4 linked regions of the Oreochromis niloticus genome follow. The main gene of each other region encodes a partner of the protein of the gene in region 4 in a complex. Links are inferred from orthologs where the notes say so. Each region holds a gene or a part of one and is shown on either strand. Other genes may lie near its edges. The genes, in order: wrap53, gar1, nhp2 and tert.

Region 1 (8,365 bases), on a different chromosome or scaffold from region 4:
TGCCTTTCTGAGAACTCGAAGTCCATCGGCAAAACTCAAATATAGTGGCACCCCAGTGCTACCTACCTCTCAGCCTCCCTGCAGATGCACACAGTATCCATTTCAAACCCTTAGTCGCCTTGTTTTTGTGTCTAAGCCCAATATGTAATAACCATGAATATGCCCCTCGCAATGTTTTCTTAATATATAAAAAAGAATTTACCATTTGCAGCCTTTCAGGTAGTTCTCCGGCAGGTTGGAGTACTCGGTCCAGGAACCAGTCAGCATTTGAGGGTTCTGGGTAAAATCTAAGCTGAGCCTGGAGACAGAGAGACAAGGACGTCCTTGGTCAAAGAGGGGCTCCCAACAAGCTCACTAAAAGCTATATCTCACATTTATTAACAGATGAGCACTTAAAGGTTTATAATTGAAGACCATTTAAAAGCTCATTGCTATTTTAGGCACACATCATCCAATGAAGTCCCCAGCCTCAGACAAACATGCTCTGTATATAAAACACAGTGGAAACTTCCAAGTAATAAGCTGCTTCATTTACACACAGTGCCACTACAGCTGATTGTTAATTAGATTCCTATTAGTTGACTACATTATTTTTCATCCTGGGTCATTTTCTCCAAATTTTAGCATAATGATGACTGACAGTCTCAAAATGATGAATCAGTTAATGCTCTGGTGCTTTTAGCTGCCCCACTTAAACATGAGTGTCAATTAAAAAAAGCACTTATCAACATCTAACAACACATCATTACACACGACACTCTCACTGTCACTGATAAACTTAAAGCTTCAAACACATGTTGACTGCATTGATTAGACTGTTAATCGTTTTAGAACTTCCCATCGGTACATGGCGTCTATCCACTCAACCAAGTTCTGCACTGCTTATATAGTTGAGGGCTGGAGCCTATCATGGCTCACATAGGACTAGAGGTTACAACCAAGACAGGTTGTGCTTCCACCACAGAGAGACTGAAACTCGTTCATGCACAGAGTCTCACCTTATTTAGAATGACCGATTAACCCCACATGCATGCCTCTGGAGTATGGGAGGACCATACCTGACACATGCAATACATCCTGTCACCTTAAATTCTTGTTTGATGTTTTATGCAAAGGATTTTGGTGACTAGGCAGATAATTTTAATGTAGTTACTAGGCAACATGATGTTGTTATAATGTCCAATACAGATAAGAACCTTCAGAGGCCCAAGATATAAGTTTGGTTACTCAGCTCCGGGTCACCTAGAAGGAGTTGGGGGACAAACAAACACCTAGTCGGAGATTTCATGTATCACAGTATGACCCTATGTTTTTCATAGCATGAAGAAAAAACAGTGTTAAACAAACACTGTTCTAAATGCTCCGTTTCAGAGAGGTTCTTCTACTCTTGCGACTTGTATGACAGGGAATACCACTGTTGTGGTCATTTCAGGGACGCAGCTCTGGCTGTGAGTACAGAAGCCCCGCCCACCTGTTGTTCACAAAGACAGCTATTGTGAAGCTACCTGCTGGTTTTTGAAGTCCTGCACTGAAGCCACAAGATGAGCGTTTCCACTGTCGCCATCTTGGGTGCAAAAGGCCAGATGAGATTGTGTCTAGACCGTGAAACTGCACACTCACTGGTTGATTCTTTTGATTGAAAAGTCATTAGCCAATGGTCTAAAGAGCTTAGAAAGAAAAGCGTCTGGACTTCTTTAAGTTGCTTGAAGACTTTTCACCTCTCATCCGAGAAGCTTCTTCAGTTCTAGGGTCAAATGGTGGAGAGTCCCAGATTTAAGCCCTGTGGGAGTATCCCCCCGAGAGGGACAAAAGGACCCCCTGTTGATCCTCTACCTAATGGCATGAGCCAAGGTGTGAAAATGATTAGGTAGAGGATCAACAGGGGGTCCTTTTGTCCCTCTCGGGGGACACTCCCACAGGGCTTAAATCTGGGACTCGCCACCATTTGACCCTAGAACTGAAGAAGCTTCTCGGATCTCTTCTAGCAGTTTCTGCAATTTTATGAATGCACATCTTGTATGTCAACTCTGCCTAAATATCGCAAACTTGCTCTACATTTAAACCTTTTTTTCTTCCACGTACTGTTGTCCGTCACCGGGGCTTTCTGCAGATCCATCATCGTTGTGTTCCTCCTCTGGTTTTGGCCCTTCTTCTCCATTTTGATGGTATTCTCCTTCTTCCCCGACGACTACTACCCCTTTCCCACTGTGACCTCCCTCCTCACACTGCAGCAGGTCTCCTGCTCCTGGCAACAGAAGCCAGATTAAACACAGGTCAACTGTAATCTTAATCTATATTAATATATGCATATTAGCTTGAATTAAAACAGAAACAATCCTGTACCTTCTGCTCTTTGGGCTGGCCTTCCCTGCAACGAGCTAGGCTGTGTTGGTGTTTCTTCATGCCTCTGAACAGGCTCCACAACCTGATCCTGCCCCACATCCTCCTCAATCATCCTCAGCCTCTTGGCAGATGGCGAAGCCCCTTCCTTTGAGATCTCCCCTGCACCTCCAGGCAGTAAAGGTGGAGGCTGTTGAGGGGGTTCATTATCTGCTTCGGAGTCCTGCCCTGCACCACCTCCACTTTCACCACCTCCCGCAGAGTCTGACATCTTTGTTTACCTCCCCCTCTCTCTCCCGTGAAGCCCTCCACCCAGCTTTCAAGCGCCCGGTGTCCAGCGGTCGGCTGTCAGACGTGGGTGAGGTAGGTGCTACTGGGGTAGTGCTTCCTCCTGCAGTGTGGATGTTTGAGTCTGTTGGGGTACGAGGACATCACAGCACCCACCAGCCTAGGAAACAGTGAGTAGAGAAAACATGAAGACGAGAAAAGCGAGACCAACAATGAGCCCGTCAAAACAACGGAAGAGCATGAGAGCACGTTCACGAAAACCAGGAAAAAACCGTTAAGTCAGACTGACGATAAAGTGAACGTGCAGCTGCTGTGAGAGGAGCACGTCACTGCCTCACAGCACACACCTGTGGCTAGTCGTGACTGCCAGCTGCCTCACCAAACTAGCATTCACGTCTATTTGGTCAAGTTAAAGCTTGAGTGGTACATATTACTTCCTACACGCCCGGTTGCTATTATGCATAGTGAATGATTCTGGCAAATAAATCAATTAGCGAAATTTGCTTTAGCTTCTTATTGAGCGTCCCTTCACATCGGAGCGCACACTTTAGCCCAAGTTAGCATTAGCCTACGTTAGCAATCTGATGCTATATACCTGTGTTGTGGCTTGCCTGGCCTTTAGTTGTGTTCGCGGTTTGGCCGAAAAGCAAAAACCGCGGAATCAGAGTTTCACCAAAAGCCGGAGAAAAGGACCGAACACACAAAACTAATCGACGTCTTTCTGCTTCGGGACTTTGTTTCCCTTCACCATCTCATTACGAGTTGTAAACACTGCGGGCGGCCATGTGCTTCAAACTATCGCGAGAGTTCATTGGACGAGACGCGCTCAGTGAGTGGTGAATCTCTTATGTGCGGATAGGCGTGATTCATAACAAGATGTCTTCTCGGCTTTTTACTCAAACTTCATAGATAACTAAAGAACACACACAGAGTCGGTCACAGCTAAATGCTATTTATTTAGTATTTATTTTGTTCTTCAAACAAAAGCAAAACTATTTACACTTCTTTTCAGTTCTTTTCCAAAACATTTTCATAACATGTATGCTGTTATTTTACCAACATTCAAAGACGTATTTAAGTGAAAGAGCTGGGCTGACTGGGGTATAACCATGAGTCCATCATTACAGTCGGTATTACAGTAACCAGCAAAACTGAACCAGGTAATCTTTACATCTATACTTTCTATCCTGAAGCAGGCGGGTCAAGCTGCTCATCAACCAGGGTCTTTAGAAACAATACTGTGGTTTCTCTGATCATAAAAGCTTTTGTAGTGCAGTAAAATAGACTGATGATTCATCCATCACAGTATCAGCTTTTTAAAAAATGTGATAACATTTTAAGAAATAATAATTCAATATCAATTCAACAGTTATGATATACGATGACGATGCCAACTGTGGCTATTTCACTTACCTATAGAAGAAAACTGCACAGCACACCCACAGTTGATCAGAAACGTTTAACAAGTCTAAACTGACGGTATTCAATAAACATCAGTTTCCATTTGGATAAAAAACTGCATATGTTTGGTTATAAAGAAGGAAAAAACAAAAGCTACAGAATGACTAAAAACACGAATCTCTTAAATTCAATGAGACAGAGTAAAGACGCGGTCCGAGAAGACCTTTCAGATTTCAGACACACCACAGCCCGGTTGCTTCTGTATCGATTCAGTGCCATCACTGATGGTCAGCAGCACTACTAGATACAGATTTTAGTGTCAAACCCACAAATATTACCAACAATCATACATGCTTGTTCTTACAAGCACTCCTATTAGACAAGTGTGAATCACTATGTCAAAACTGTAAAAAGATCCAACTCCTAAAACATTTTATTCCCCTGGAGTGTAAAGAAAACAAATCAATTTGAGGACGACCTGCCATTCTGGTTCAGTTTTGCCGAGGACTGTATCCAACGACAGATACGACACAGCAACAAGCGCGTGCTCTGAGATGAACCTCTGCATATTACCCAGTAAGCCCAGCTCCAGGCAGCACAGACTTCAGCCCTTTGTCAAGCCTGCACCTTCAGCAGTAATCTAAATAGGAAATCTCAACGAATCCACACTTTATTTGAATCAAAATGAAAAAAAAAAAGGGCAACAAAAATCCAACCACCAGTAAAATTAGATCAACCAAAAAGCCCTCATTGCTCTATTCTTTAGTTAACTAGTATCTTTTAAGTAGATCACATTTACACTTTTATACAGGACAAGTCTGTCAGCGAACAGACGTCTTGTTAAAACCTTCTTTAGAGTACAGTTAACGAGGTGGTTTCCAACTTAAACTGAGAATGTTTTCAGTAAGCCATTTCAGACTGAACTATACAATTTAAGGCATGTTGAACAGAGAAATAAAGCAAAAGCCATTATGGAGAAAACTCAAAAACACAAACTTTTACATTATTTACAAAGCTCAGCGTTTATGCTGCTGGGCGTTGATGCTTGTGTGTCTTTGTGTTGTTTGATATTGTGTATCTCTGGTGTGTGTATGCATGTGTGTAGACATTGTTCCAGAGGAGAGCCAATGTAACTTTAGCTGTGAGTGTGCATGTAGTGTGTCTGCCTGCTCCTTTGGACTTGAGAATTTGTGAGACATATGATAGTTTTGTGTTTTGTTTTCAAAAGTCCTTTTTTTCCTTGTACAATTCTTTCAGTTCATCCAGTTCCACAGCTGCAGCCTTTTGCGATGGCTGAGATGTAATCCGGCCATGTCCACCAAAACTCGTCCCAGCACACTGTCTCTGACATCTGGGCAGGAGAGCGGCTTGTCGGTCCTAATGGCTAGAAGACCTTTAAGACCACCATCCGAGAGTTTTCCGGCTGGGGTAGATGATGAACTTCTGGGCAACGCAAGCCTTTGTATCCTCTTCTTAGATGGAGTGTGAGATTAAATCCTTAACCAAACACTTCCAGCAAAAAGGGGATGAAGAGCTGATAAACCTGTAACTTCATCTGTCCAACGTATAATGCCATTGGCCTGCCCAGACTGAGGTCAAAAAAAGTTTCTTAGGGTCTAAGTTCAAAGGGACAGGTTTAGGGTTCACTGGTTCATGGGCTGGCTGTAGAGAAGATCCTCCTTGCAGAGGGCAGCAAATAAAGCACAGCCAGACTCCTGTGAAAACACAGAAAGAGCGCAAGATATCATCAGCAAAACTTGGACACAGGCATTAACAGAGGACAGGACTGTATATAAATGATGGAAGTGGCAACTGTTATTCATTGCCTGCAAAAGTTCTGTTGTGAAGCCTTGAGCTGAATATTTCCACTGTGATGTTTTTGTGATGAACAAGGGTCAGCACTTATTGAGACATCAGAGCAGACTCACAGGCTACCCCACTTTTTCAGGCTAACCGGCACCAAAATTTGTTAAATGAACATTAAGTTTCAGCAAGACTGGAAATGCCCACGAGACCACAAAGTCTTTCACCAGGAAGGACTTATAAAGTCACACTAAAGCTTAATTTTATCTTGTAGCCTTCCAAACGCCCTCTGCTGGACGTTAGCGAGAATGCGAGTTACGGCAACACTACACTGGCTTACCTTTTTATTCTGGCTGCTACATCCAGTTTTATTACAGCCTTACAATGATCATCTACCACAATTTTAAATTTGCCATGGTAAATTATCAGTTAATTTAACAAATCCATGAAGGTGCGGAAAGCAACCTGTAACTTTACGAAAGCTTCACTGACCAATAATTTTTGTCATTGTTTGTCAGCAACCTTTTTACTGCTGATGGAAACAAGACAATAACTAAATGAAAATGTTATTGTCTTTCATCAGCAAATAACAAGATTAAGATATTCTGGAGAGACTAGATCCAATCAGAACCAATTCATTAAATTAAGTAATCTCCTCGTGCAGTAAGGTTAGACGCACAAATTTGATCTGCCCCGGGAAACAGTACGTTTTCTTTATTTTTTTTGAGGTGGCGGGAAACGACAACTAACTCCCATCCTTGTTTTGTCATGAAAAAGCAACAATGTTGAGGCTTGAGAGGAAGAGAAGACACGTGTCAAGGAAAATAAGAGGTTTTGCAAAAACATGTGGAGCGCCGCTCACCAGTAAAAACACGACGATTTTAGATTTACTATAGTCTTATATTTAGTCAACTAAAATAATTTAAGCACCTAAATTATGACTAAAATTAAAAGTTTTGGTCAATAGACTAAATTTGCTGTGAAAATTAACACTGTACAAAAGCATTAAACAAAAACAAAAAGGATAAAAACAAAATTCTGGAAGAACATCTTACCAATGCCAAGCACTTGTCCTCCGGTGGTCACTCTGCAGCTCTTGAGGCTGTCATCAGTGTCCATCTCTTTACTGTGCGTGTTGATCAAACACTCTTGGTGGGCTCTTTGTAGCCACTGCAACATCCATTTTGATAAGTAGCTATCAGTCAGTCTTGGAGCCACTGCAGCATGGCCACCACCTCAGTCCATGTGGTTTTACGTTCCTTCCCCGATTACTTCAGGGCTACTGGCAAACTAAACTCTCAGCGAGTCCCATCTCAAACTAGATTTTTTTTTAAAAAAAGATTGGTTTTCTTGAAGAACATTCACTCCATATAATCAATGAATTTTCCTTCATCCATTTTGCATTTTTTTCTTTCTACTCTGAAAGGTAATACAAAAATATGGTTATGTACAGGAGGTGGGAGAAGACGAGCTTCTCGAGTCTCTTATTTCAGTTTGGGAATTTCTTTTTCAGTGACTTTGTCAAAGTCGTAGCAATCCTCCTGTTGTAATTGTGCTCCCATCCCCAAAATTGTACCTCACAGCTTGAATGAACAAAAGTGCATAGGTGAGTCGGTGAGGGCAGGGTGCGAGTGCTTTCGAGGGCCGAGGTGAAGACGAGGGCACCGAACGGGTGCGCTCACATCGTCCTCTCAAGTTCCCCCTCCAGGGTTCTGCAGCCCTGCACTCGGTTCTCCACAAAACACAGCCCCATCCTTGATTTTTCTGCCTCCGCTCCACAGCTGATCAAGTCTCAGGACCCACGACACAGATCCAGTTAGAGGATCCTGTCCATGTTGTTGTGATGCCTGCCACTCTTCCTCAAAAACAACGAAACAAAATAAACAAAAACAAAAACACCACCACACCACTCAATGTCCTTATGGCAGAAGCGCACTTGCAAACCCCACCCGTCTCATGTGGGAACAAAAAAAAGATAAAACAAAAGAATAAAACTGCACCCACAGATATCCATGTGGCTTGTAAACAACCAAAGCTCCAGTATGGAATAGAAAGAGTCCTTTCTTTAGTCACCATTTGTACGACCAGGATTGTAGAGGCAGTGTGTTCAACTGTATCCATCTCGAGTTTTTTCTCTCTCCTCCACTGTGTAAATGAAAAAAGAAAAAAAAAAAAGACCCCGCTCAACTCTTTGAAGCTTTTTTCGGTTTTGTTTCCATTTTTGAAATCTTCTGAGGAACAAAAACAAAATCTTGTATCAGCACGGGTTTCTTGTCATTTTTTTTTTTGGAATACATTCAATATTTTCTTAAGAAAAGAAAAATAATACACACTTCACATGGCAAAAAATGAAAAAAAAAAAATTAAGGAAAAGAAAATTAAAAACACACAACAAAAATAGCAGCCCCAAGTGCTCATCTTAGTCCAAATACTTTTTAAACTTTGTATATAATGTATATATTTATATATATTTTTCATTTAAAAAAGAAAACTCGTCATTATCAAATTGCAACAACGAATATGTAACACAATA
Region 2 (7,859 bases), on a different chromosome or scaffold from region 4:
ACAACGAAGTTCAGATATTATAAACAAACCATGTTACACACCAGGGGAAATAACCATAACATTGTAAGACGATAGAAAACCTGCCAACCTCTGAATCCACGTCCACCACCGCCACCTCCTCTTCCTCTGAAGCCTCCTCCACCACGGCCTCCTCCTCCACCTCTGCCTCCTCCTCCACCTCTGCCTCCTCGAAAACCACCTGAGACAAAAAGAAAGTAAAATTAATCAAACTACTCTTGCATGCCATACTCTAAATATGCATTAGGCTTTATTTCCATGTTCAATCTACAAAAGTAAATACTGAGCAAAAACTGAGCATAATTCCTAGAGAAAAACAAAAACACAAATGTCTGTTTTGTTATCTATTCTAAACACTTAGCCAGAAGATTAAATTAAAATGAGAATGCCATCTTACCTCCACGACCACCACCCCTTCCTCCACCTCTACCCCCTCCTCTGCCTCCTCTTGGAGGCCCCTTTTCTCCTGGTGGCCTCGGGAGGAATCTCTGCAGTGGTAGTAGCTTCATTGGATCTATATAAAACTAAAAGCCAACATTTTGGTTAGAAATCTGAGGTATTAAATTAATCACTAGAAAACTTTGAGACATTTTTGGTACCTTTTGTAGTTTCTTGAATGAAGACGCCTTCATATTTTCAGAAAGTTTTACTGAGAAATACTGCAAAGATGGGTTAAGGAAGCAACAAGAACACTGACAATGTCAAACAGATCCCCACCACCAGTTCAATCAAAGGTTTGGAGAAAAACAAAGACAATAGAAAGGATACAAAGTCTCTGAGTTGGCCAAATATCTCATCCACCTTCCCAATCTGCTCCTTGTTTTCCAAGTACACTGGGGCATTGAAATAGGGAACCTTGTTTTCCTCTGTTGTGCACTTGCAGACAATGTCATCTTCACATGGATGCATGAACTCTCCCAGTGCTGTGAAGGGTGTGAAGACAATGAAACAGTTAAAGTTTAAGACGTGCAATACCATGACTGACAACCAATTTAAATTTCTGTCTGGTTATAATAAGTCAGCATATGCTTGACTGCTCTGCAGTTCACTTTATGGGCATCTAGCACAAGGTTTCTGTACGTCTGAAATTCTTTGGAGGCCAGGGGAATAAATGGGGGTTAAAGGAAGTGACCCAGAATATATGCTAAAACAGAAACTTTGAGGCACTAGAATATAAACATATAAAAACAAAAAGATCAAATAAGTTGGAAAAAAAATCTGTTTCTGAACAGCCCAATGAGTAGAAACACAGATACATCTTTAACAATATTACAATGTGGACTTAAAATATATTAGATGGCAACCTAACTCCTGGTACAGCATGTTATATTCACATTTTGTGGGATGATCATTAAATATATAAAAGATTGATCTTTTGTCTGTAATGCAGTTTGAATTTAAACACTTACATATTGCTCATTTTATTATTACTATTCTTACTACTACTACTACCACCACCACCACCACCACTACTATTATATTAATAATACTATTACTAATATTATTTAACATCTTTGAAATATAATTGTTTTCTGGTGTATTTAGGACAACTTGGAAACATGTAGTTAAAGTTAATTAACATGAACTGGATCTTGAATTCCTCATGTAGGTGACACACGGTGTATTAACTTCATACTCTTGTCACATAGAATATTTACTGAAGTTCTCCATTCACACACACCCAAAGGTCCACCGTTGTTTTAGAGTTGCCTGCTAACACTGACTGGAAATTTATGCTTCAGTGGGCAATAGTGTACATAGCAGACGCTGAGAAACCCTATAATGTAACCTACCCTGATAAACTGATATGCACCTACATAGAAATATAATTACATGTCACATCAACACTGCCACTACTACCATGATTGGCCTGTTGAATACCGTTGATTTCGCCTATGCATTTCTGGCTACTTTTTTGATGCAGTGCTAGAATTTATCAATGACAGAATAATAATATAAGGATCTGTTAAAGGAATAAAAACCATAATACGGACTCACAAATGGCAGCAAATTCCTAGAAGGAGATTGTCAAAACTATTGGAATGGACACTAGGGAAATGTACAAAGATGTGGAAATACTAGAGGAACAAATATAAAAATGACAAAGCAAAGAGTGGCAAGCCAGAAGGGGAAAAAAACTTTCTGGTATTTTGTTTGTTTCTATCGTGACTGGCACCACATGTAAACTGCCAGGACTCTACCACAAAAGTAATTAACATGGTAAATGCTGGCACGATAATGTCATCTTACATAGGTTACATGGCCTTTACATAGATTCAGGCAAGATGGTGTGTGTGGACATCTGCATGCCTGCCTTTCTTTTTTGTTGTTTGTTTGTTTGTTTTTTTGTGACTGCACAGACTAGTTCGTGGTGACTTTACAGTACAATGCACCAAGAAGAGCAACAGGACACAGGTCTTGTTTTCCATATCCTTGGGATAGTCTCCATCTTTGATGAGGACAAAATTGTCACAGCCTACCTACTCAGCCACACCACTTCCCCATAACTGTGTAATGGTAATATTACAGAGTCAGTTTTTTGGCAATATCAAGACGGTTTGCTTGCATCTCATTGTCTGAGAATTCACGCGAAGCTGTGGTAAAAGGTTAGCTTCACATGTGTATAAAGAAACACTCGGTTTAGCGTTTTGTGAGCTCTGGGCTTACCAACAACATACTCAGGAGGTCCATAATCTTGCTGTCTGTTAAAACCCCCTCTTCCACCACCCCGTCCAAATCCTCCACCACCCCGTCCAAATCCTCCACCACCTCTGCCTCCACCGAATCCTCCTCCACCTCGTCCAAATCCTCCACCACCTCGGTTGAAACCTCCACCTCTTCCACCACCTCGTCCTCCTCCTCTGAAAGACATTCTCCTCAAATGCACTGTAAATAAGAAATTATAAAAACACAAAGACGACACAGCTCACGTGAGTTCATGCTTGAAGCTAAACACTTATGAATGAATTAGCCTGCCCATGATTCGGGCAAACTATGCTGACTTGGAAGCTATTGCTTATGCTAGCTGAAGTGGTTAGCTTACGTTAGCACAACTCAGTTATTAAAAGTACGAAAATCCATCGGAGTTTTCTAACATAAACCAACACGATACGTAGTCGTTGAAAAAATATACACACCGAAAAAGTGCGCAACTCGGATTTTGCACAGATAAAGACAATTACTCACAAATTTGACCGACTGCCTAGACTTCAGACCGCTGTGCCAACTTCCATGCGACTACAACACGTGTGACCATAACGTGCCGTAAAGGCAAGGGGCGGTCTCGGAAAGTGTCGTAAATGCGCTGACAGAGCTAAACCATTGAAGAAAAACTAGAATTAGAAGAGGGCGCAACCTGTCTGCTGTTTGACTCGGTCAGTTCAACTTTACCCACTCAAATGTTGATATAATGTAACTCGAAGCTGTTTTGGTGACAAGTGCAGATTTAATTATTCCTTTATTTAAATTTTTTGTTCAAATACAGGCTGTTTTATATGAAGACATCATCTGCCAACAATGGCAACAGATGGAAAGGTAAGAAAAAAGTTGTTTTTAAGCTTTTTTTTTTCTTTTTTACTGTTTGTCTTATAAACAGCTACTGTTGCTTTTGGGGGTTCTGCTTTTCATTCTAAAGTTTTCTGTCATGGAGAGTGTTCATTGTTTGTTTGCATCTGTAACTGCGCCCAAACACAGTCACTCATCTTTGGAAACATATTTGTTTTGGTTTGGGTTTTTTTCCCCTTTAGGTGATCACATGCAAGGCAGCTGTTGCGTGGGAGCCCGGGAAGCCTCTTTGTATTGAAGAAGTGGAGGTGGCACCACCTAAAGCTCATGAAGTCCGAATTAAGGTTGGGCACAGCTCAAATTTGTCAGCAATACAACAATAAGTATGATTTACATATGATTATTTTATTTCCTGTTAGTGTGACTGTTAACCACAGACTACTTCCACTTCCTGAAACTGTCACATCATTTGGCACATCATTTGGTTTGTACAGGTTGTTGCCACGGGTGTGTGCCACACAGACTGGGAATACCTGTTTGAGACTGGAAAAGGGATGAAATTCAGACCATTCCCTTTAGTACTTGGTCACGAGGCAGCTGGCATAGTGGAGAGCATTGGTCCAGAAGTCACTAGAGTCTCCCCGGGTAAAGTGTACCACAACCAGTCAGATGACATTTGTTATGAATCTTATTTCTCTTTTTTTTTTCTTCTCAGACTTACATAATTGTTTCGTTGTTTTCGCAGGAGACAAAGTTATTCCTCTTTTTCTGCCATACTGTGGGGAATGTGAACGCTGTCTAAGTCCAAAAACAAATCATTGCAAGAAAAACTGGTGATTTTATTTCCCCATTTTTGAGACAACCACGTTTACTCTATTACTTAAAATGTGTTCACGTAAATACTGTTCTATGTGTCTTTTAGGACAAATATGCAAGCTGGAGTTTTGGCTGATGGGACTAGCAGGATATCTTGCAAGGGACAGCAGGTTTACCAGTTCCTTGGAGTCAGTTCTTTCTCTCAATACACTGTGGTCCCTGACACTTCGGTTGCAAAGATAAGAAGCGATGCACCGCTAGACAAAGTCTGTCTGCTTGGATGTGGTGTCTCCACTGGTTATGGAGCTGCTATTAATGCAGGCAAGGTTAGAAAACTGAATTCGAAAGGTTCAAACTAATACTCTTAGAACAGATGTGACGAAGCAACAAATTTCAAAAGATATATTGATGAACATGACAATATATAAACAGCCAAGGATATTTTAACCAAAAAAAAAAAGAAAAAATAGTGATATTTGTATCTGGAAGTTTTTTGCTTTTTTATGTTTACAATATGCTGCAAGACTGTAGTCATTTAATATCAACACTAGAGGGCAGAAATGACACGAGTGCCACTAAGTTTTCTGGATAAGGTGTACATGTCAACTACTTTACACAAATTCAAATAATGTAAAATAGTTCCATAGTGCAATGGTTTACACATTTGTATAACATGTGAAATACATGTTCCTGTGTTGGCTGCATGTGGAAAGGAATCTGCTTTAAAAATCGCCAAAGTCACTGAGGTGACCCGTTGTGAATAAGGGAGCAGCCAAAAGTAGGTCCACACACATTAACATAAATAAAATGACAAAATCAGGACACTTTTGTACTCCATTACTAAAAAGAAACCAACTAAAAATGCGTGGAAATCCTTGCATGGGTTATTTATTTAGACATAGTTTTAATCAAGATTCACAGACCTGATAATATCTCATGTATGTGTTTAAAGGAATGTACTCTAAATGTTATATTTGCTGTAAAAATTATCTGTGAAAACGCTGAAATGATCTTTAAGAACTATTAGCTGACTGGCTTCCAACTTTTGTGCATTCAGGTTGAAAAAGATTCCTCGTGTGCCGTTTTTGGGCTTGGAGCTGTTGGGCTGGCTGCCGTCATGGGTTGCAAGGTTGCCATTGCGAGAAGGATCATCGGGGTTGACATCAACCCTGACAAGTTTGAGAAAGCCCGACAGTTTGGAGCGACAGACTGTATAAACCCAAGAGATTACAGCAAGCCTATCCAAGAGGTTGTGGTGGAGATGACGGGTGGAGGTGTGGACTATGCGCTGGAGTGTGTTGGAAGTCCAGCTATCATGGTGGGTGCCTCATTTGAAATTTGGCATGCAATTGTGTCAATGCAAATTAAGTCTTGTGACTATAATTAGAGTACACTGTACAATGTCTTCTTTGTTAACCTAGATTTGATCTCTTTTGCAAAAAGTGACACAAGTGAAAGAGTTAGATAATGATACAAATACAAAATGATAATTAGTTAAGCAACTGCTTCTGTCACCATAGAATGCTGCACTTGAGTCCACAAGAGATGCCTGGGGTACTTGTGTCATTGCTGGATGGACAGAGACAGAAACAATGAGCATTTCAGTTGAAAAGCTTCTCATGGGACGTACCTTAAAGGGCACTTATTTTGGAGGTGAAGTAAACAAAAATTACCATACATATTAGATTATTTAATTGCATTTCTGGTGTAAATGTAGATTTGAGTGATGAACATAAAATTGAGTGTATCATCCTGAAAAACTGTCCCTAATGTTGTCCGCCAGGGCAAAATGTAATGTCATGTTGGGGTAAAAAACTTTGCTATTGGATTATTAATAGTTAAAATGTGTTAAAAATTATATTACAACTGCTTTGGTTGTAATATAATTTTATTTTATTAATTTTTTTTAGGTAAAGCATTCAAAACAATCATTGCTTGTTTTCTCTGATCAACATTCCTGAACCTAAATATTATTGAAGTACGATTTAATAACCCACAGAAAAATGAGAATACGTAAAAAGTCTTGAGTTGTGCTCAGTTAATAAATTAAACAATCGATGAATCATCTAAATTTCTGTCAAAATAACCAACAGTTTTTGGTTCCTGAGTTCAAAACGTATATAAGAAGTTCAGTGAGGACAGACAGTTAGGTATATCCTACATAAACTATATAATCACTTTTACAATTTGTAACAATAAATTTACATATGTTTCATGTACTATGAGCACATCAAACTCACATCTGATGTGCAGCGAATTGGCTGTGAATGTGACCACAGGACGGTCTTACAACAGTGCAATTCATATTACATGAAAACATGTTTACAAGTTGAGCTTGTTAACTTTTTCTAAAGGGTGGAAGAGTGTGAAGGATGTGCCTAAACTGGTGGATGACTACATGAATCACAAGTTGAAACTGGATGAGTTTATTACGGAGAAGCTCCCGCTGGTTCAAATCAATAAGGCCTTTGACCTTTTAAAAAGTGGTAAAAGGTGAGACCTTTCATATGTGTACATAAACAACAACAGAAAAGTCTACTTAGCCATAAATATCAGGACTGAATTGCTATTTAGGGACAAAATTGTTTATATGTAAGAAAAGTATTTTCAAATCTTTAACTTCTGTCTAACATGTTCTGTTTGATTAAACAAATCACTAGATTCAGTTTGATTGATCTTTAGAAATAATTTCAGAAACTTATTTCCCAGGACATAAAAATTTAAATACTATTTGGTATAGTGTGACCTTACAGTTTTTCTCAGTCGCTTTGGTGCGTTTCTCAGAACACCATCAACATTTGCACAGCAGTTAGTGCATTTCCCAAAACAATTAGTGCAAACTGCAAAACCTAGTGGATAGCCTGCAAAAGCACGTCACATGCACAGAATTGATTATCCATACCGCAAAAGCAAGTATCCATGTCAATGAAACTGCCAGTGCCATCAAAATGAAAAGTCTTGACACCATCTGTATGAACAAGATAGTCAAATGGCATTGTCATGTTTCCACTATGACAGTTTATAATTTCAGTGTTTCCCATTGCAAAAACAATTGGTGACACCTGAAAATGCTGACGACAGCACTATGGCCTACCTGTACAGCCATCTGAAATGTGCAGTGAAGTCACTGTAGATGTTATGGGAGTCTTGGGAGTAACTGAGACACTGAATACGTACGTTTCACATTTCCATTGTGTAGAAGTGTTTGTAATCCTACAGAATTGTGCAAAAGAAAAATATGCTACAGTCACTTGTTCACTGTAGAATACATGTAAACATAAAATCACCCATTTGGTAGAGCTGTGCACTAATGTGAACAATAAACAGCACATGTAACAGTACAGTAAATCATTCTGGCACATCCAGACGTTCCTGTCTGTCTGGCCACATATTTTCATCTACATCACAACAGATGTTATCCCTCGCAATGCAGCGAGGAAAGTATCTCCTGGAGTGGCGAATCCATCCTCTGCAGGACTCTGCTGTGATGTCATCACAAGCTTTTGTAGATTCAGTATGCA
Region 3 (7,678 bases), on a different chromosome or scaffold from region 4:
TAAAGCTCACGTTCGTGTTTCACAGGTAACGTTTCAAACAGCTGTTAAGTCTCATTCTGAGGAAGCTTCAGTGCTTCCTTCATTGCCTCCTTTAGCTGAGGAGACACTGAAGCATCCTTTATGAAGGAGAGGAGACGACGTGATCCATCAAGTGTAAAAGTGAAGATGTTTGTGCGGCTGCAGGAACGAGTTCAGACGCGTCACAGCGTTAACGACTTTAATAAGAAAAAACAAAAACATCTGTGAAACATCTGCCTTTACCTGATCACAGATCAATACATCGATTATACTAAACATTTTTCACTCAAACATCAACATCGTTCTTTATCTGAAGTCTGTTTGGTCTGGATTTAAATCCTCCTGCTGGATTAGCCTAGCTTAGCACAAACACTGGCAGTGGATGGAAACTGTTAGCACAGCTGGAGGAAGAACTGTTCCTTTGGGGGTGGGGCTTATGAAGGGGTGGGGGCTTCAGAGGGGTTTGGGCAGGCTGGAAACTTCCTCCAAGCACTCGTCATACGCTTCCTGGTAATCTTCATGAGGTTTGATGAGGATGACGCAGGTCGGCCTCTTCGAGCCCGCAGAGGAACCCAGGTCCTGGAACAGAGTTTCACAATAAGAGTCAGGAAATAAAAAAAGATTTTAAAGTCAGAACTTTCACTGCTATGCAGATGACTCGCAGCTCTATCTATCCATGAAGCCAGGTAACACACACCAATTAGTTAAACTGCAGGAATGTCTTAAAGACATAAAGACCTGGATGGCCGCTAACTTTCTGCTTCTTAATTCAGATCAAACTGAGGTTATTGTACTCGGCCCTGAAAATCTTAGAAATATGGTATCTAAGCAGATTCTTACTCTGGATGGCATTACCTTGGCCTCCAGTAACACTGTGAGGAACCTTGGAGTCATTTTTGACCAGGACATGGTAAATGGTAAAATGGTAAATGGCCTGTATTTGTATAGTGCTTTTACTAGTCCCTAAGGACCCCAAAGCGCTTTACACATCCAGTCATCCACCCATTCACACACTGGTGATGGCAGCTACATTGTAGCCACAGCCACCCTGGGGCGCACTGACAGAGGCGAGGCTGCCGGACACTGGCGCCACCGGGCCCTCTGACCACCACCAGCAGACAACAGGTGAAGTGTCTTGCCCAAGGACACAACGACCGAGACTGTCCCAGCCGGGGCTCGAACCGGCAACCTTCCGATTACAAGGCGAACTCCCAACTCTTGAGCCACGATCGCCCATCGACATGTCCTTCAACGCACATATTAAACAAATATGTAAGACTGCTTTCTTCCATTTGCGCAACATCTCTAAAATTAGAAATATCCTGTCTCAGAGTGATGCTGAAAAACTAGTTCATGCATTTATTACTTCCAGGCTGGACTACTGTAATTCATTATTATCAGGATGTCCTAAAAACTCCCTGAAAAGCCTGTTGTTGTGATTTGTTGCTGTATAAATAAAACTGAATTGGAAGCACACAGACTTTTCAAAATAAGAGAAATTATCCCAACACTAAAAGTCAGGAAATCACAAAAGATTTGAAAATAAGAGTCTGAAGCTGACGCGTGCTCACGTCTCACATGATCAGACGTTCGTTAGTTGATTGGCTGAAGCTCAGCAGGTCATCGACTAATCAGAAGGTTGGTGGTTTGATCTGCATGCAAGAAAGCTTTTCTACTGAAAACGTCTCGATGCACGCTCAATCATCCAGGTAAGTAAATCTGCAAAAGTTGATTCTGGACGTAGCGTTTTCAGTGGTGCTCATGGCCGCTGATCAGTGGTCATGAGAATTTGCATAATTATGATGAAGGAACTGACCTCCCAGCACATTGTTCCTTCAGTGGGCTGGTTTCAGTCATTATGCAAATGTACTGTTTATAAGATTGGGGAAACCTGCAGTCAGCTGAGACTGAAGAAGTCACCTGATGATGATGAAACCTTTCTCCCACTGAAAACATCCAGATGAACAGAATCAACTTTTGCTAAGCTGCTGTTACAGAGGGCGTGGCACACACAGCGCTCTGAGACACACTGGTGTCGACTGTTTGTGCGCGCAGTAACGTTTTCCTGCTGCGCTGAGGAGAGTGCAGCGAGCAGTGCACACACATGCTGTGTGAGCGGCGCTCTGCAAGCACAGACTGAGTTTCAGCCACGCCCATCCAACTTTCACAGAGCAACGCGTTCAGAGCCCGCCCCCATCAGGTGACAGACCTTCAGCACACCTGTCCACTGTCACTCACCACTTTAGACGGGATGTAGGCGTACGGCAGGCTTCTGTCCTCACACATGACGGGCAGGTGGCAGTAGACGTCGATGGGCAGCGTGTCGCCCGCCAGCACCACGATGCTGCAGACACATCAGAAACACATAAATACACCTGTGATCGTCACGAACACCTGGACACACCCGAGGACGTGCTGAAAGGTGCAGCAGCAGCGACTCACCCTTTCTCTCCTTTGTTGATGAACTTCTGAACTTCTTTGACTCCTCGTCGGATGTTCTTCACTTTGGCGGCTGGATGATAGAAGCAGAGACACATTAAACCAGACTCCAGTCAAAAACCTGCAGTTTTAAGCTCAAGTGCAACATGAAGGCTCTGCGCCTTCTTCAAGCCCAGACCAGCTGCAAACTGCATTTAAAGTCAGGAGGAGCACATCTGGATGTTTAAAGCTTTAACATCTGCAGTGTGAACACATCGTTCACATGATTCCCGACAACAAAAGTTCCCTCCCAAACCAAACTGTGAAGGAGATTTCCTCACATACTAAAAACACTTCTGCTAAGCATCAAAATAAAAGCACATGCAGCTGCCTTTTAAAACGCCCAGTGAAACCGGAAGCGGGTCTGACTGAACCTTTCACTGAGGATGAAGCTGTACAAACAGCCGCTGATTTTCCACAGAAAATTACCAATAGATTACAAACTGTGCATCTATAAGCGACGTGTTTACGGCCGAATTAACCAGAGGCTTCAAACGACTCGAACACTTTCTTATTTAAAGTCCTGCATCGACTCTAACAACTGCAGAGCAGAAAGAAATCGTTAAATTCGTGAATTTTTAAACAGAGTTCGGCGCCACAGAACAGTAATCTCCAACATTTCCCGGCCGTTAGCGGGATTCTTCTTCTTCTCACCTTTTTTCACGCATTTGTAGAGCTTCTTGCTGAGCTTTTTGGAGGCCAGCGGCTGAGCGATCGGGTTCAGGTGAGCGATCAGCTCCTGGTACGACCTCTCGGTGCCCCCGGTACCGGCTTCTTCTCCCTCCTCCGAAACTTTCTCCTTCTTCACCTTCGTCATTTTTGATCGATAATCACTGGTAATCGATACCCGTTTGATTGTTTTCTGCTCGGACTCCTGCCTGCTGATCACAACACGCTCACAGAAAAGACCCCACACGTGTTTCAAGCCTCTTTCTCTGCTGTTTGTGAAAACGCTGAACCACAACAGCGCCACCAGCGGCCCGGAGGGCAGCGGCAGCACCTCCCTTCAAAATAAAATACCAAACTTCATTTTTTAGGTTTAGTCAGAATTTTACTGACACTTCAGAAATATTCAGCGTAAATATATATCTATATCTATGTTTATAAAGAGATAAATAATAACATTTAAAAAAGTGAAAGTTTAAGTGGAAAGTTTTGGATTCGGCAAGAAGGAAATAATTTCCCCCTAAAACCTAAAAACCAGCTTCACTGTGTGGACACTCGACAGTTTTCTTTCATTACATGAAGCTAACAAACAAACGCGCACTAAAATTAATTATTGCTCATCAGAATGATCTGAAGAGAGTTCGTTATTAATATTTCCTTATAAACTTAATGATCAGGTTTTATTGCAAAGTGACACGACAATAAAATGAAAAACTGCTAAATGAAAAGTAATGAATGCTTTTGATTCCACATACACAGACACATTATTCAGAGTATTTATTTAATTACATTTGATCTGGAAGAAATTAAAAAAAAGGTTAAATACAATTTCCATTTTTTAAAGTTAAAGGTTTTTATTTTGTCAGTAATGAATTTGGCTAGAAGCCAAACTTGAATTGTGTAAAATCATTTAAATGATTTCATGTAAATTCTGAATCCTGAAATCACCTTCCAAAGCTCACACGAACTGAATATTTGTGCATTGATTAAATATCAGATCTGAGCTGAGCTTCTCTCCACAGTCTCGATTCATCTTTAAGCTCAGTCACAAGCATGAATTTAATTTTAATGAATTTAAGCTAACAACCATTTAAATCGAGTAAACAGATGAACAACAGAACAAAACAACAGATTTGTTAAAAACAAATAAGTGATAAATGCAGTAAACACTGATGATCATTGATTATTGATTTCTGCTGGTGCGGAGCTGGGCTGTGACGGGCCGGTCTGGGGCAATGACTTCATGCTGATGACATCATCACTGGCTGATGATGTCACTGAACATGGTGGGGAGCTTCTGCTTCTTCATCTCGGTGGCCATTTGACACCAAACGCAGGGCAGACAGAAGGTGGAGCACAAACAGTCGGTACAGAGATTCCCCTGAAACAAACAAACGAACGAACAAACAAAGTGAGCCACACTGGCTAACGTTAGCTTAGCGGCTGCTAACTCAAACCAAACGAGCGTCTCAGCGCCACCTCGTGGTCGTACTTTGATGCCGTAGCGCTGACGCAACGACACCCTGATGGACATCGTGATGGGATGGACGCAGCCGAACACGTCCAGCAGGGGGAGACAGAGACACTGACCGAACTGTTTGGTGGTTCGACAGGCGAAGCAGGGACAGCACCAGAAGGCAAAGCAGCCTGGGAACGACAGCAGACGACAAACACAACGTCAAAAACAAACTGAATAACAACATGAAACAAAGTAACACAAAAAACTGAAAAAAAAAGCAACAAATTGCAAACTATAAATAACAAAAATAAAAACAGCATCACTTCAGTTAAATGTTTAATATTACACAACAGGAATGAATTAATTTCTTTATAATTGATTAAAAAAAAGTTCAATCATAAAATATGATTTTGTTTTCTTCTGTTTAACAAATAAACGTATTGTTTACACTTGCAGTCACTACTTAGGTTCAGACGATGTGTTTGTTTTTTAAAGATGTGAGTAAAACCAAGCCAACATCAGCTGATGTGTTAGTCTTTGGATGGATTCACGTCACACACACTGATGATAATTTGATGCTTTTTGAATGGAGTTTGGTGCAGAGCCTTAGCAGCTGTGGGACATTTTTAGGTTTAAACAGATTCAGTCTGAATGAATGAACATGTGACCTCAGCGCTCTTTATTTTCTGATGTATTTAAAACAATAAACTTATTTAAAATCAAAGGAAAACAGATGACAGCTGATGTTGTCTCTGTGAAAACTGATAAATTAAAGAACAAGTCTGTTTGTCTATGTTCAATTAGATTCTTATAATAATTCTTATGAGCTGTTAAAGCGTCAGCTGCATGCTCGTGTCCAGCTGTTAGTCTGGTCCCGAGTGTCGGTGTGGGATCAGTAAAGTCCGCTCTGATTGGATGAAGCGTGTGTGTTACTCTACATTGCTTCTTGTCATCGCAGCAGTCGCAGATCCCTGAAGCCCAATCAGCTTCCAGCGAGGAAACAAAGAGCTGCTGAGGCTGCGTCATCACCGGCTGGCTCATTGTTCACCTGACGACACACAAACACCTGGACTCAGTCACACCTGTGGCACCCGGTCGTTAGTGATCAGCTGTTTGCAGCAGACAGCTCAGTGAAGATTCCAGTTAGTGAAAGTTATAAAGGTCATTTATTAACAGATTCCATAATCATCACAAGTGTGCATTAGTACAAGTTATTCACATGGGTCACTGCCTCCCTGAGTTAGCAGGGTAAAGGTCAAAGTTCAAAGTTCATGACAGGACATGAGAAAAAGATCGAATCCTCTCCTAGAGTTAGGGTGAGGGTGAGGAGCTCCAACCTGAACCGCTGCTCCACATCGAGAGGAGCCAGTCGAGGAGGTTTGGGCTCCTGCTGGGCGTTTGAAGCACGTCGTACTGACGGAGGCCCCAGGACAGAGCCGGGATCACAGCTCCTGGCTGGTGTGAGCGAGGGAAGCCTGGGCTTAGACAGCTGCTGCCACGATCCGGACACAGGTGGCAGGAAATGAATGGATGGAAAAGTATGGCGTGGTTGGAAGAGCTGCCAGGTGAAAGAGCACGCCAGCTTGACTTAGGTTTGCAAAGCTGCACCTGAACCAAAGATCAGAGCTCAGAGAGCTGTGCATGGATGCTGCGACCCTCAATGACCTGCAGCTGTAAAGAAGAGTGGACCAAAACTCGTTCACAGAGATGTGACGCACTGATAAAGTCCCACAGAAACCAGCACTGAGACTTTATCTACAAACTGCACTGTTACAGGAATGCAGAGAGCCGCGTGAGCAACGGGAGAAACAACAACAAGAAACATCCGAGAAAGTCGGCACTAACAGCGCGACGCAGCCACAGAGGAGAGAAGATGTACAGTAGAAACAAACCTCCACGGTCCAAAGAGTCAGGTCCACTTCCTGTTATTTTGAAATGATCACGCAGCTATCACGAGTTCAAGCTTTTACTTTGATATTTTACAAACAGGAAATATGAGGTTACGTTAAACTATGTACACAATTCACACAAACAACATTAAAGTCTTATCAAATCCAAATGTTGCTGCTGAGTTTTGAGAAAACATGAAGCTTGAGGTGTAACTGAGTTCTCATCACCGTCTACACCAGGACTCGAGTGTCCTTGATCCACCACAGCTGATTTAAATGACTAAATTATCTCCTCAACATGTCCTGAAGTTCTCCAGAGGCCTGGTAATGAACGAATCATGTGATTCAGGTGTGCTGACCCAGAGTGAGAACTACAGAGAATCCCCCCCGTTTGTATCCTGTGGACGCAGTGAGGATAAATGAAAATACCAAATATTTCATCACACGCTCTACAGTCATCATCACCAAGCCAAGACTGGGATCAGTGGATGTACACAGACATGGGTAAAATAAGACAATATTTGCATGGAGTTTGGTGTGGAGTTCCACCAGCTGCTCAGGGAACAATTTAAAGGTATAACAACAACATTCATGTGAGGCAACGTGACAGGAATGTTAGATTAACTGTTTCAAACCATCAAAGAAGCAAAGAGCAGCAGACCCACAAACCAGCCAACACACACACAAACCAACAAACCCAGCTGCTGCGACTGAAACCTGAACAATAATGAGATGATATAAAAGCAGAGTGTGATCATCTTACCTGTGTGACTGATGTGGTCGCTCTGATTGGAGAGATGAAGGTTTCGGATAAACCTGATGAACGAGTTCAGGTGGGCGGGGCCTGCTGACTCACCTGCATACTTTTAGATTTAATACATAAATCTGTGGAGAGGTCTCATCTCGTTCATTTAAAATGTGTTAAAAACAAGTTTGATTATTTAGTTAAACTGGTTGAGACATTTGTAATGCAGTTTAACATAAACTGTTGCATTAGTCAGTGCTGAGTGTAACGTGTTATCATCACTCACTACGTTACTATAATCACATTCTCAGTAATGCAGTAAAGTAATGCATTTCATTACTGCAGGACGGACAGCAGAGCAGCAGTGCAGCCACACAGCTGTGCACGTGACTTTTATGTCATTGCTCAAAAGGAGCGCGATGG
Region 4 (7,617 bases):
GTGGATCAGATGGCTACCTGTCTGACAAAGGCCTTTTTCAGGCCTTCGTGGGAGTCCGCCCAGATCTTGGCATAGCGGCGGATGGTAAAGAGTTCATCGTGGACAGGTGACAGGGCTTGGCCAATCACCTCTATGAGTTTGTCATGCGGCAAACTCTCATAGGCTCCACTCACGTCCACCTTAAACGAAGAGGAAAAGCTAAATTATATATTACCTGTACAGTATGTCCATATTATTGTGCAGAAATTTACAGCTGTATTATCCTTAAAATAAATAGAAAGCTCTCTGCCAAACAATTAAATTCACCTTAACAAAATAGAGGGGTTGTGGTTTTTCCTTCTGCGCTGGTGCCAAAGAGCACAAAACCTTGTGGATGTCAGTCATCCCCCACACTGTGGACCCCAGCAGTGATGGAGTGGCACGCACACAGGCCCGCAGCATATCCAGCAAGTCCCTGACACGGCCTCGGTAGAGCTGTAGGGAGGAAAAAAAAGTTGAAAATCCAGCCCACAGCATGTAATAACAGACAAGTCTGAGGTAATTGTCGGTGCGTACCCTTGTTTTGGCATCTGCTCCTATGACTCGTGTGATGGGCCTCATGCCATCAGTCTTGGGAATAAAGCGAAGGCGGGAGATGACGGTGCCTTTGGGCAGGGATGCCACCTGAGCTGGAGTCAGCTCTTCCATCTGGCCTTTGGAAAGGTGACCTCTACATGAAAAGCAAATTTTGTTCCCTTTTTTGGACGTATGCCTCATGTCTGTATGTATGCTGGCTACTGTAGTAATGTTGTGTGAGTGTACCTGAAGGCCAAGTCTTGCAGTTTGGCCCAGACTTCCTGCCTGTAGAACCTGATGGCGTTTTTTTGCCCAATACTCTCTGTTGCATAGAAACAGGCTCTCACAAGGCCTGTAACATATCCATCCAGAAGCCAAGCCAAGAACTGACCCAGGACCTGTGTCCGATACGCAAGCTCGCTGGGTGGAAAACAGCCTGCAGACGAGTTACGTTGGTTCGGTCAGGCATGAAACACGAAGCAATCAAAAAGAAAAAAAAAAAAAAGATCATTGATGATAACCTCACCTGTTTTACTCCTCTTCAACCAATCACAGTCATTCACCTTTATCTTCCACATCAGTTCAGCCAGTGAGAGCCTCTCAAACTTGCCACTTCGCAAGAAAGTCCTGACCCTGGCAAAGAAATGCAGCCGGTTTTGATCAGAGCCCCACAGTTCTTGCGGGATCACAGAAGAGAGGCATTCCCGGACAAACAGGTAAACCCTGTGCGGTGCACAGTGCTGAGGTAAGAGTGAGTTTAGTTCTCCCTGTCCTGCATTGCTCTCCTCTATTGATGGACATAACCTCTGTAGTATTTTGGTGTAGGAACAGCTCCTGTGTTGTTGTAAGAGCTGCCTAAACAGGGGGACCATGCCAAAGAACCTCTGGGGGAGTTTTTTAGGCTTCCTCTCTACTCCATTCAAATACGCTAGTCCCTCGAAGAAGACTATTCTTACCAGATCTTGTCCTTGAAGCCTTCTGGATCCATGAGCAGTCTTCTTCCTCCTGTTAAGAAGAAAGCCACGCATGCCCCTGCCCCCATACAGGAATCCCAGGGTGCGGATAAAACATTGCGAGGGTGGTAAAGGGGGGAAAATCCCTGATCTCCAACTAGGACCGCCCTCCAATGTTGGCATTTCAACAGGCTGTTTGAAAGCTGCAGGCGGTGCTGATTCCACAGGCACAACCTGTCCTTCCTTTTCAGAGCCAACTGGTTGGATCGCCTGTTGATGTTCTATAGACGCTACTCGCCGCCTCTTTCTTGAACAAACCGCCACCTCCTCCTCTTCACCAGTTTCCCGTTTTCTTTTCCCTTTTTTCCCTCCTTTATTCCTTCTTTTCATCTTCTTGCTTGCAGCAGGATTCACAACTGTGCGTTTCTGTTTCAAACTCACTGACCCTCGACAGCTCTCAATCTTGGTACGATTATGTTTCCTGACTCCAGGCTGGAGAAAAAACCCACTCGAGGCCATGGTCATGGACACCCTGTCATAGACTGGAGGGCCGCACACCTGGAAAACACACGAAGGAGGAACTGCCACAAACACAGAGCAGCTCTCCAGAAGATATTGCGTGATGTCTGTGCCCAGACGCATTGTGACTTTTTTCCACAGGTCACTGCCGTGGATGTAGGCAGCACTCTGTGTTACGTCGCCTTGGAATTTGAGGAAGTCTGCATCCCGATCCTCCTGAGCCAGGGTCTGAAAGTTATAGCCATGTGCCAAGACATTCCTTTTTCTTTTTCTTTTTAGAGTGTTGAGAACAAACGCCAGTAGTTCAGGCAGACTGCAGATCTGTGGAAAGTATGAATATATAAGAAGAAGCCATCTCCCATTAAGCTGTTAAACCCTGACAAAGGCAAAACTTCAGACTCTCTTATAAACCTGTCAGCTTACTGATGTGTGCATCTATACCACAAGTCTCATTTCAATATAATATAACTCTATGCTATATTAGCCCGGAGACTGCTACAAAACAATACTCTGAGTTCTTTATTCTTCTATGTGATTAAAATTGATTCAAAGTTACCATTTTCTTTACTAACTAAAACCAGAGCCATTAAATCAAAGAGTCATGGCACTCGAAAGATCCTGAAATGAAATATTCCACGTATAACTTAGCACAGTGAAAACCCTTTTACAATATTATTGTGGGGCCCACCCCGTGTCCCCGTGTAGAGCCGGACGAATATATCGGCTGATATTAACTATCTGTCATTATAACTGGATACATTTAAACATGTCTAATAAAGGAGAAATGGGGGGGGAAGTGCCCCAGAAGAAAAAAGAAGACCTTGCTGAAGCTTAAATATCCTCCAGCAGCGCATAGTTTTCTCCCAGCTTAGTTTCAATATACATATATATATATATATATATATATATTCAAAATATAGGAGTGTAACATGGTTTCCTGGCTTTAACATTATAACAGCATGGCAGGCAGAGTTAGCTACACCGCTTCAAACGTCCACAGAGGGCTGCGTATCAACTCCTCAGGACTAACCTGGGAAATGTACATGTATATTTTTCAATCCGGCGAAACGTTACCTGTTTACAGCTCGCTACCTGCTGTAGCTCCTTGTCAAAGCACACAAAAACACTCCTAACGAAAGATTTGAATCGGTTTGTATCTGTCTGCTCAATGAGAGCTGCTTTCTGTCCTTCTCTGAACACGATGCTGTCCGAAAACTCCTCCAGTGTCTGCGTGTGCCGGTACAGTAACCGAAGGATATCCAGCACACCGGACATATCAGTCGCAGACATACCGACTGTGTTCGGAGCACTTGGACGGAGGTTAGCTACTTTACACTGGGATTTAGCTATGTTTGACCTTTTAAGGGCCCGCGTCATGCTTAGCCTATGGGAAAGCGCTTTATTGGAGCTGGCCAATCAAAAGTCCTCATACTAAAGGGGGGAAATTTACTGTTGACCAATGACAAACAGGTAAAGGCTTGTTGTCTTTTGGCACGAGTGTAGTGAAAAAGTGACAGTATCACGTGCGATTTGAACCAATACATTAAAATGAGAACTGCTCACCAGAGATCATTCATTCTGTCACGCGCATTATATGCGCACCACAGGCGGTTAAAGCGACATATTTCTGTGACCTTAAAATTACATTTTAATTAAAAAAACGCAAACAGCAGCTTTCAGAAGAACAACAACGATAGTGCTCTACCTGATGTGCATCTGCTAAAGTCCAGACAAATCCCCCAAGAAACACAATAACCACACGGGTGGTGTTTACCTTCATAAATTCCAGTTTGTAACAGTATATTTTACTAAGGATAACAATACATTAGCCATCGAAATTACTTGCAGCTGCACCGGAGTCTGCGATAGCCACGCGCACAGGTGCTGCGCCGTAATTGGTGGGAAGACGCCCCTCTTTGTACCGAGCGCGCGAATGCACCCACGTCTCTCACAGTCGGCTGCTCGGTTAGCTAGTTCTTAGCGTGCCGTTGTACCTCCGGTGGTTTAAACGGTACCGGGGGTTTGCAGGCACACCGGAGAACCAGCTTGGACGAGGCTCAAGGGGCTGTACACCTTAACCACACCTCAGCTCTCAGTTTTCTGTCAGCTACGTGGGAGAAACATAATGGCAGACAAGGAAGGTAAGTGAGTATTTTAGTTGTCAGCAAAAAGAAACGATTCTGTTTGACGCCCCTCAGCTAGTTGCCCGGTTAGCTTAGGTGGCAGCTAGGGCAAGCTGCCCGTAGCTCTTGTGTTTTACTCTATAACAGTCAACACAAGCGGGGATAATTTAAGAGTGTGAAGGTGAACTTTACTGATGTCAAAGCTCAGTTATTGTTTGGGCACCGTCTCTGAAAAGTTGGGGTAATGATTTGTGTGTGAATACCGGGCAGAGGTGAAGAAATGAGTTCACATCTTATGGTTATGCTAACGCTGTAGCAAGGTGCGGGAACAATGAGAAGTTTCTCATAACACTGATAAATACCGAGGCCTTGTCAGGTTAACAGTCAAATCATTTGATAGCGAAATTTGTCGACTGTAAAGACCAACTTTTAAAGGTTGTTGTTGATTAACTGTAACAGAAATAAATCTAGTAACATCAACATTTAATATTAAACTAACAGCTTGAGTTAGTGAAAGCTATGGACATATCTGATGGGTGTTTGTAACTAAATAAAAAGTACAGTATTACTGTGTGTCCAATTATCATCGCTGGTTCTGTGACAATTTTGTCCTCAGCTGGTGCTTTTGATGATGCGGTGGAGGAGAGGGTCATCAATGAAGAGTACAAGATCTGGAAGAAAAACACCCCCTTTCTTTACGACCTGGTTATGACCCATGCCTTAGAGTGGCCCAGCCTGACTGTTCAGTGGTTACCTGACGTCTCAAGGTGGAAGCGTTTACACATTTGGCCGGTAATATATCTCAAACATGCAAGAAATTGGCATTAATGCATTAAAAACCTTTTTTTTTTTTCTCCCTACCAGGCCCGAGGGGAAGGATTACAGCGTACACAGGCTCGTTTTGGGCACTCACACTTCTGATGAGCAGAATCACCTGGTTATTGCTAGCGTGCAGCTGCCCAATGATGATGCCCAGTTTGACGCCTCACACTACGACAGTGAAAAAGGAGGTTGGTATATTGATAAAGAGAATGTATAATGCATTTACTTCATATTTTATATACTTATAGCCTGCAAACATATTTCTCTATATTTCCCTGAAGAGTTTGGAGGCTTTGGCTCAGTAAACGGCAAGATTGAGATTGAAATCAAGATCAATCACGAAGGAGAAGTGAACCGTGCCCGCTATATGCCCCAGAACCCCTGCATCATTGCCACTAAGACCCCCACCTCAGATGTGCTGGTGTTTGATTACACCAAGCATCCCTCAAAGCCAGGTGCAACAGTCACACAAAGCACAACACACTGCTGAAGATGGCATGTTCTTGAGTACGTTATGAAAAAGTGCATTGTAATTGGTAGCTTACTGGTATTAAAACAATTATACAACTTCACCAAAACATAAATACTGGGCGCACAGAGTCGCTACTCAAAAACAAACTTGTCTGTTCAGTTCTTTTAAAACCACACCTCTCTTCCAGTGTCTCTGAATTGACAGTTGATTTTATTATGTTGTCTTTAGATACTTCAGGAGAGTGTCGCCCTGATCTGCGTCTCAGAGGCCATCAGAAAGAAGGCTATGGTCTATCCTGGAATTCAAATCTGTCAGGAGCTCTTCTTAGTGCGTCAGATGATCACGTAAGAGGAAGTAGTTCTTGTTTTAAGAAGAAATGGCGCTTTCTGTTTTTCATTTTTAGCAGCAGATATTTCCAACTAGGGCTGTTTTACATATTTATGTCATAATAGTTTCAATCACTGTATTTCCAGTACCATAAATAAAAGTAGACTGCTTTGCCAAAAAGTCACACACACTGATATTTTGGTGGGCCGACTTTAGCCTTCATGACCGTTTGCATTCACTGTTTGGTTCCAATCCCTCAAGTTGTCTGTGTGACGTGCACGTGGAAATGCTCTTAATTTAAATATTAAACTGCTCTGTTTTGTTCATTTGCAGTTTCTATTACTGTAGTTATCACATAGCATTATTTCTACAGTTAGGTGATTGAACTAGCATTTCTGGTGCCAGCTGGTGAATTAAATCATTTACTCAGCTGATCCTTTACATCAGGGGTCTCAAACTCCAGTCCTCGAGGGCCGGTGTCCTGCAACTTTTCCATGTGTCCCTGTTGCAACACACCTGAATGCAATTAGTAAGTCATTAGCAAGACACTAGAGAACTTTTAGACTGCATGCTGAGGTGGCAATTCAGCCATTTGATTCATGTTACAGCAGCTTATGAGCGAATGAACGTGGTGCAATAAAAGTACTTTTAGAAGTACATTTTTCCAAACACTTACATTTACGTAAATTTACTTGAGTAGGGGTTAGGGGTTGCCACTTTAGCATGCAGGTGAGTTTTATATTCTGGCTAATTACCTACTAATTTTATTCAGGTGTGTTTGCAATAGGGACACCGGCCCTCCAGGACTGGAGTTTGAGACCCCTGCTTTACATTCATAGCTACAGTGACTTCTAAGTGTTTTTTCCACACAAATGGTGTCATAAACTGACCTCAATGAAATGTCAGGAAGGTATGAAAAAATGTGCACTGCCAAAAACCTGCTGTTAACAATCATTTTCCACTTTTACCACGTTTTTACCAAACTGAAGTGCAAACATGAGGTTTGATGTGTTTATGTGGTTTTTGTTACTTAGACCATCTGTCTGTGGGACATCAGTGCTGTTCCCAAAGAGAGCAGGATAGTAAATGCAAAGACGGTCTTCACCGGTCACAGTGCTGTGGTTGAAGATGTCTCTTGGCATCTGCTTCACGAGTCGCTCTTTGGATCTGTAGCAGACGACCAGAAGCTTATGATGTAAGACTCTCGGTCAAATACCACGCGCAGATGAAGCACACTTACAGTTTTTTCAAATGCAGCAAAAGGATGAGCGTCACCCTGTGTCTTGTCCTTTAAGCTGGGACACTCGTTCAAACAATACCTCCAACGCCAGCCATGCAGTGGAGGCCCACACAGCAGAGGTCAACTGTCTGTCATTTAACCCTTACAGCGAGTTCATCGTTGCCACCGGCTCAGCAGACAAGGTGATACAATATTCCACCACTTCTTAATTGGTACTGCTTTATTAACAGCAGGACTTTTAACTGAGTGCATTTGGTAACTGTTCACTAAATAATCCTGATGGTATTGTTAGTTTTGTAACTGCAGTGTTGTTGCAGAGATCAGAAAATGTTGCAGGCATGTTGTAATATACATCTGTGCCGCCCACAGACCGTGGCTCTTTGGGACTTGAGAAACCTGAAGCTAAAGCTGCATTCCTTTGAGTCACACAAAGATGAGATCTTTCAGGTAAGATGTTTCTTTATATGAATGAAATTGTACTGAAATAAGGACAGTACCTAATGGTGCAGTGATATAATTTTGTATATTTTATATTCATTTAAATTTAAAAATAAAGCACTGAAATAAATCTTATGTAGTACATGCTTCTTTTGACTCAACCTGCTG

What was found.
Region 1: tert (region 4) and wrap53 share a complex: the UniProt entries of both Homo sapiens proteins name them as parts of the telomerase holoenzyme complex. The link is inferred for Oreochromis niloticus from reciprocal best matches to the Homo sapiens genes TERT and WRAP53.
Region 2: tert (region 4) and gar1 share a complex: the UniProt entries of both Homo sapiens proteins name them as parts of the telomerase holoenzyme complex. The link is inferred for Oreochromis niloticus from reciprocal best matches to the Homo sapiens genes TERT and GAR1.
Region 3: tert (region 4) and nhp2 share a complex: the UniProt entries of both Homo sapiens proteins name them as parts of the telomerase holoenzyme complex. The link is inferred for Oreochromis niloticus from reciprocal best matches to the Homo sapiens genes TERT and NHP2.

What each region holds. Positions count from the first base shown.
Region 1 is NC_031967.2:8,406,753-8,415,117, reverse strand, and holds the start of wrap53 (telomerase Cajal body protein 1), read right to left. Parts: upstream 3,458-8,365; 5' UTR 3,224-3,457; intron 3,156-3,223; exon of another isoform or gene 2,976-3,155; intron 2,789-2,975; 5' UTR 2,612-2,788; coding exon 2,344-2,611; intron 2,246-2,343; coding exon 2,083-2,245; intron 299-2,082; coding exon 203-298; intron 1-202. UniProt on the Homo sapiens protein: RNA chaperone that plays a key role in telomere maintenance and RNA localization to Cajal bodies. Specifically recognizes and binds the Cajal body box (CAB box) present in both small Cajal body RNAs (scaRNAs) and telomerase RNA template component (TERC).
Region 2 is NC_031966.2:13,611,176-13,619,034, reverse strand, and holds the start of gar1 (H/ACA ribonucleoprotein complex subunit 1), read right to left. Parts: upstream 3,345-7,859; 5' UTR 3,205-3,344; intron 2,905-3,204; 5' UTR 2,891-2,904; coding exon 2,686-2,890; intron 942-2,685; coding exon 787-941; intron 678-786; coding exon 618-677; intron 543-617; coding exon 416-542; intron 200-415; coding exon 89-199; intron 1-88. Other genes in the region: alcohol dehydrogenase class-3, read left to right, coding at 3,535-3,552, 3,765-3,866, 4,017-4,167, 4,268-4,355, 4,445-4,664, 5,396-5,656, 5,859-5,991, 6,693-6,831. UniProt on the Homo sapiens protein: Required for ribosome biogenesis and telomere maintenance. Part of the H/ACA small nucleolar ribonucleoprotein (H/ACA snoRNP) complex, which catalyzes pseudouridylation of rRNA.
Region 3 is NC_031975.2:32,975,614-32,983,291, forward strand, and holds nhp2 (H/ACA ribonucleoprotein complex subunit 2-like protein), read right to left. Parts: upstream 3,456-7,678; 5' UTR 3,314-3,455; coding exon 3,151-3,313; intron 2,531-3,150; coding exon 2,461-2,530; intron 2,363-2,460; coding exon 2,257-2,362; intron 598-2,256; coding exon 472-597; 3' UTR 204-471; downstream 1-203. Other genes in the region: cornifelin homolog B, read right to left, coding at 4,421-4,543, 4,655-4,809, 5,560-5,662. UniProt on the Homo sapiens protein: Required for ribosome biogenesis and telomere maintenance. Part of the H/ACA small nucleolar ribonucleoprotein (H/ACA snoRNP) complex, which catalyzes pseudouridylation of rRNA.
Region 4 is NC_031985.2:28,040,601-28,048,217, forward strand, and holds the start of tert (telomerase reverse transcriptase), read right to left. Parts: upstream 3,420-7,617; 5' UTR 3,405-3,419; coding exon 3,102-3,404; intron 2,349-3,101; coding exon 1,082-2,348; intron 992-1,081; coding exon 802-991; intron 710-801; coding exon 556-709; intron 475-555; coding exon 307-474; intron 180-306; coding exon 18-179; intron 1-17. Other genes in the region: histone-binding protein RBBP4, read left to right, coding at 4,153-4,168, 4,767-4,917, 5,015-5,160, 5,254-5,427, 5,673-5,788, 6,806-6,966, 7,067-7,193, 7,381-7,458. UniProt on the Homo sapiens protein: Telomerase is a ribonucleoprotein enzyme essential for the replication of chromosome termini in most eukaryotes. Active in progenitor and cancer cells. Inactive, or very low activity, in normal somatic cells.